Drosophila melanogaster: one gene and its partner. The protein of the gene in region 2 interacts with the protein of the main gene of each other region in a pairwise test. Each region holds a gene or a part of one and is shown on either strand. Other genes may lie near its edges. The genes, in order: CG5866 and Acp62F.

Region 1 (3,332 bases), on a different chromosome or scaffold from region 2:
CCGTCCATTATGTATGCAGAATAGGATCTATATCTGAAGCCAGACTTCAACGACTGATGGGTATCTAATAGTCGAGAAAATCGACTAAGGCGTTTATTCTTAAATGGCAACGAGTAATGGGTATCTAATAGTCGAGAAAATCTACTAAGGCATTTAATATTGATTGTTTTGTAATGCATTTTAATTTGTTATCTATTTAATAAGTTACAGTTGTTTCGATTGGCATAAAATGGCCCTGATATTAATATGAGGAGGACCTGAGGGGAGGCTAGCCTTTTTTGTTTTATATATATGGTAAATGATACCATATCTTTAAATACCTTCTATCTTTAAAGATTTAAAAGATCTAGGCTTCCGAATATAGGTTTATGCATAAGATTATCATACATAGGACAACCAGATTTATGTAAATAGTACACACAACACCGACAACAACAAAATTATTTCATTTGACAATATTATATTTCAGAAAAAGAAAACAATACAACTTAGGATATTATATTAGATATTTATATCTATATTTATATAAATATTTATATTTATATTTAGTTATCTTGAGCTTAGAATTAGTGGGCCCTGTAAGCGCTGGGCAGACGATGGCATTCGTGATGACCGATGTGTCTCAAAACTGCAATTAAACAATAATATCATTTGTGAAAATGTTTTAGATATGTTTATAACCAACCTGGCTTAAGTTCATTGCGACGCAGGCAGTTCAAAACGGCCAGTGCGCAGGAGTTCTCCACCCTGTAGCAGAGATGACCATCGGTGGCATAAGCTGGACTATGAACCCTGGGGCAATGGATGGTGGCGTGGCAGTTGCGATGATGATGAACACCATGAGTTCCGTGATATGGTGCCTCCAGATGGTTGTGGTGGATTGGATGCTGATGGTGGGATCCATGAACTTCTTGAAATGGTGCCTCGAGTTGTTGGTTAGGATGTGAACCATGATAGTGGTGCTGAGGGGATCCGTGGATAGGATCATGCGATTCAGACAACTGATGATGATGGTGGGGCTCAGATAGGTGATGGTGCCCTTCTAGGTGATAATGGGGTCCGTGCTCGTGAGGATGCGATTGAAATTGATACAGATGTACTCGTTGATGTTGATGTTCTTTTCCTGCAGACAATGACTCGTTAGGAACGATTTGATGCACTGAAGCATCTTCGACAGGCAGATATCCTTTCTGGGGAACCTTCGCTTCTAAGATAATAATATCCGATCTGCGCAGAAAGGATCCTTGGGCAAGGACCATCCAAGCACTCAGCAAGAAAACGAAACGCAGAGCCATATTTTCTTCAACTGATGCTGATTCACAGGAACCTTTTCGGTTTTATACCCAGAGCACAATAGAAACCGAGTCCAATAATTTAAACTTAATAAGAAACCCATTTTAATTAGAAATTAATTAAAAGATAAGCACCGCAATAGCATCACTAGTGGGCAGCTAATTAAATAATATAAATACTCTCAAGCAGGGCATAAATCACAACCTTGTGGTATATGCAGGCTAGGAACGTTCAACTCGGGAGTTTCTTTACCTAGAGCTCTGAATTCTAAACCCTCAGGTCAACCCGAGTTGACTGAACCCATTCGCATGCTTACATCTTTACAAATGGTCTTAAATATAATGGTCTTTTAATATTTTTATTTTGATTTTGCCCTATAATTCTCAACTGATTCTAGTAAAGACTGTGTGACTGGACGTGTAGTTTAGAGTCACGGAATATTAAAAGTAAACTATTTTACAATGTGTGTATTTAACAGGTGTGATTACTTGGAAACGACTAATGTTAGGTATACAAGTGTTTTAACTGTTATGTACCTAAAACTTATTTTAAAATGTGTGACCCAAAATATAAATAATCTCATAAACTGGAATTGTGACCATATTTCTTCAGCTTTTTATTCACGTTTCATATTAAAATAAAATGTTAAGTTCCTGTTAAGAAAGGGATCACTGAAGAAGATATATATCTATTTAGATTTATTTGTTTACAAAGTGCTACTAAATCTATCTCGCGGACTTCACAAATAATATGTAAGTAATTAAGCTACTGTATTATTCTGTTGTAATTATATTAGTTAATTGAAGTTAGGTAATTGTAACTCTAAAACCCCAAAGCAAACGTCACGTGGTCAACAGAAGTGGATAATTTTAGTGAATTATATTGGACATGCATGGAGTTACGCTTTTCTATCTTTAATTAGTTTAAATAATATTTAATATAATATAATAAGATACGAAATATGTGCTATTCCATTAATAGGATGAATAATATTTATACTGAGCCATATATTATATAAATGTACATTTTTATATAACACAAACAAAATGAAATTTATACGGATTACATATTTATAATATTATGTTAAAGCGAATTTTAAAAATTATTATTATTAAACAATAGTTTTTTACCATATCTTTTAAACTGGGTGTGACTAAAACACTTTTATATTATTCAGCGCACTCGCTTGATTTCTACGTGACTTGTTGGCTGTTTGTTACGCAAACACGACTTCGATATTTGGTTTCATGCTTGAGGCCCCAAAGAGCCCTAATAGATAAAAACAACTAATAGATTTAGGTGTAAAAGTTCATTTACTTTCGTTCACGCTTAAAACATTCTGCGTGGCTTACAAAAAAGCTGTAAAATTGAATAAAGGGAAATAAGTCAACTGTAATATCTAAACATGTAGTTTAACTCACTCTGGCCAGTACGACAGGTGTGAGCCCGTTTTTCACATTCGTTACCAAAGTTTAGGACTTCGCCCTTGTAGATTCCAGTTGTGGGCTGGTAGATGGCTGTACAAATGTCGGCGCATTGCTTCTGACACTCCCTCTTTGTCGTTATGGTCAAGGCTTTTATATAATCAACATAATATTCGTTTGATTAATTCTTATTAAGTTGTAATAAGAAACTGCTCACCTGGCTTTCGATGGCAGTTCTCCTTGTCGAAATAACACTTATTCCGGAAAACATTGCAACCTCCTCCAAGAGCCCAAACAACTTCCTCCGTATCCGGACATTCGCCTGAACAGTTACCCCTAACTTGGCTCAAAGCCACACACAGCAAAAGGCAAATATATAGAGAGAAATTCATGTTTAAAGGCCTCGAAGTTTTGGAATGAACTGAACAGATCGTTTGCCACCTCCACTTATATATACATATGTTTTTGTTAGCTTGGAGGCACGTCTTCAGAAATCTTTATCGGTTTTAATTTATTCAAATAACAGAAACCGGCAGATGTGTGGGGTTTTTTTTGTTTGTTAATATCATACATAAATAACACTTCATAAAAACGCTTGTGGTGTCCCATTGTTTG
Region 2 (2,998 bases):
CTCTTTCAAGTGTGAAAATTATGATTATTTCTATATATCATTTTCGTTATTACGCGAAATTTAACATGCAAAATACAAGAGAATTATACCACGTCGGCGGCGCTTTAAAACTATTTGGCTTAAATCATAAATCAAAGTGTGCGCCGTTTGGTTGCTGGCCCACTAAGTTTTTAATTAAATCCCAATTGCAGCACCATGCATCACCGCGCCTAATCTGGCCAGCAAATACAAAGTATTCATTCTGTGCATTTATTGTTCAGCTCGAAAAGCATGTAGGAATAACACAGTTCTAAATAATTCACAGTGAAATTTCCGATGTGATTACCATATCGAATGTGTTCCGCGTTTCGCATGGATTGGTGCTGAAATCCCCATTTTTCTGTGTCCCCCAATTGCAGTCACATAGTTCCGCCCAAATGACCCGTAGCACACGAGACCGCTTGCCAAGAAATGCGTTTTCTTTCTCTTAATAGCCATTGTAATGGTCATGACTGTATGTGCGGGTGACGTGCGCTTCTGTGGCTGCCAGTGGGCACATGGCGGTCACAAACACAACCAGCCGCCTGGTAACAGTTGCACCGCCACATTTGCAGTGGCATTTCGGGCAAATGAGAAGTGGGCAGGACTTGGCTGGAAAACTGGGCAGCAGGTGGAATGAAGATTTCGAAAGTATTCTTATAGGTTGCTAGTACAGCAATACAAATTATATTTGCTATGCAACTTCGTTCCAGTTACGTAATTAGTGCAACTAACATTTCGGATTTCTTTTACTATTTGTAATTATCTTGTAATTATAGCTTGTAATTTACTACACATTTATTTACATTTTATTGTAATTTAGTTTAAAGTTTAGCTGCCTTCCTAATAAATTTCTATGAACAGTTGTAATTTCTGCTAAAGCACTTAAAGTTCGATACACCCAGTAGCATATCTTCCTTTCGAACAACATCTTTTGGGCAATCGGATCGCAGAACACAGGCCGGAATCCTCTCATTGATAACATATCCCGGCTTACACACACAAGGAGCTCCGCACATCTTGACGCAGGGTCCATTGCCGGAGTACTCGCAGGTTTCAGGACATGCTACAGGACACTCCGTCTGAGTTCCGTTGGCCGTACAGTCAACTTTAGGTCCTTGCCATCCCATGGAGTCGATGGGTTTGAAAAGTAATAGAAGGCCCAGACAGGCACAGATCTTCAAGCTCCACATGTCCGTCATTGTAGATGGGGAATACGTCTACCATTTTACCCTGATGTGTGCGCCCTATTTATTTCCATCCGTCTGATATTTTAGTATAGAAATTGAAATTAGATTTGCTACGCGATTTTGTTTCAGACCATTATACCATTTGTGTGACTTGCAGATATCAATGGAAAGACAATAAATCTTAAAAAAAAAAAAATAGTGTATTATGTTACTTAAAACAAAGGCGCGTCAGTGAGGGAAATATATTTAGTTTTCGTTGATCCTAGTATAAAATAAATGCTTTTTGGCAGCAGATTGTAGATTGTAGAACATTTTACAGCCTAATTAAACGATTAAGTACTATAAGTGTAGCCACTTTGATTTACTTCCCACCAGCGATTATTTTCGCTTAATCACTGTCAAAAACGAATATTGTGTTTCAAATTGATTCGTTTTGGCCTAAAGCCTTGAAATAGTTTTGAAACGGTTCGGCCAATTGAATAGAGACGCGAATCCTGCCAATTGACTAGCCCATCATGACTAGAATAACCAGACCCAGGAGTACCTCCTCAACCTGTCAGATTTCAGTTCATCGCATCGGGATGCCCAAGTGCCATGCCAAGATGCATAATTTCCCACATATTTTTTATATGGCTATAATATTTGGTTTTGCACTCTTGAGTCATCATTGCCGCCGACTTATTGCGAAACTATGCGAACTGCAAATTTCGCTGGCTATTTTTGCAGTTCTTATTGTTGGCATGCGCTGAGTGGCCAATAATATTTGCAATTATTTATTTCGCCTCTTGGGAGGGGGTGTGGAAGGTGGGGGGCTATTGCCAAACCGCTGAAATATGCGCCATGAATAATTCTCGGCGCACAGTGACTGCCTCCTCCCTCCGGCCCTCCTTGCTCTTCACCACCATGTGCGGAACGTGCGAAAAACTTTTATGTTCTAAAGATTCTGCAACTTTGAACTTTGGCGGCGACGCGGACATGACGACATAATTGCAATATGGCTAATGCAATCGCAATTGCGATCGCAAAGGCAAAACTCTTGCAACACACGCCCAACATTTGCTAGCAATTAATAAATTGAGTTCCCTTTTTTCGCTCTGGTCCCCGTATTTTGCCATGTTTATGAATGAAAATGCGCGCTTTCGTCTCAATTGGTGTCCAATAAATTGCAATCACACTCGTGCGAACACTAATTAGTTTGTAGATCAAAAATTATGATTAGCGACTAGCGCGCTGCAGCTGCTTTCGCGTTTTCGCAGCCTTGGAAAGTGCGTTGACCAACGCGGCGTATGCGCAATCAGTTGACAACCCACACACAAGCTCACAGTCTTGTTCTTGTGGCAACCAAAAGAAAATCGTTCTTCCTCCCATTCGGCTTCTGAATTCTGATTCTGCTTAGACAAATTACATTCGTCTATGCTCGCTGGCTTTATTGCTAATTATTTTTTCTTTTTGTATCTTTGCAGGTGAGTTTCCTTTGTGGCCAATCGATGGGAATCCATTCGAGAGTGAGATGTCATTTATGTTTAGTAAGAATTACAGTGCACTTTCGCAAATGAAAACCAGGAGTATTTTAAGAATTGTAACATTCAATTTGCACTTCATAACTGAGTGCTATTTAAAAAAGATATATTCATACTAGAGTGATCTTTTGAAACTCAAATATCTGAGTATAGGATTTGAAGGGTATTTCCAAATGTGGAATTTCAACTGTGTTCACTGTAATCTCCAGCTAACGAGGCCTTGTCTAATCGTTTCTCACCTCGTTCCCATATTGAATGTCCTTGGTTTCG

What was found.
Region 1: the proteins of Acp62F (region 2) and CG5866 interact in a two-hybrid assay, tested with the Drosophila melanogaster proteins (one large-scale study listed by BioGRID).

Annotation. Positions count from the first base shown.
Region 1 is NT_033777.3:17,413,709-17,417,040, reverse strand, and holds CG5866 (uncharacterized protein), read right to left. Parts: upstream 1,303-3,332; 5' UTR 1,296-1,302; coding exon 686-1,295; intron 629-685; coding exon 567-628; 3' UTR 536-566; downstream 1-535. Other genes in the region: CG42822 (uncharacterized protein), read right to left, coding at 2,642-2,652, 2,715-2,867, 2,935-3,109.
Region 2 is NT_037436.4:2,737,995-2,740,992, reverse strand, and holds Acp62F (accessory gland protein 62F), read right to left. Parts: upstream 1,244-2,998; 5' UTR 1,221-1,243; coding exon 873-1,220; 3' UTR 765-872; downstream 1-764.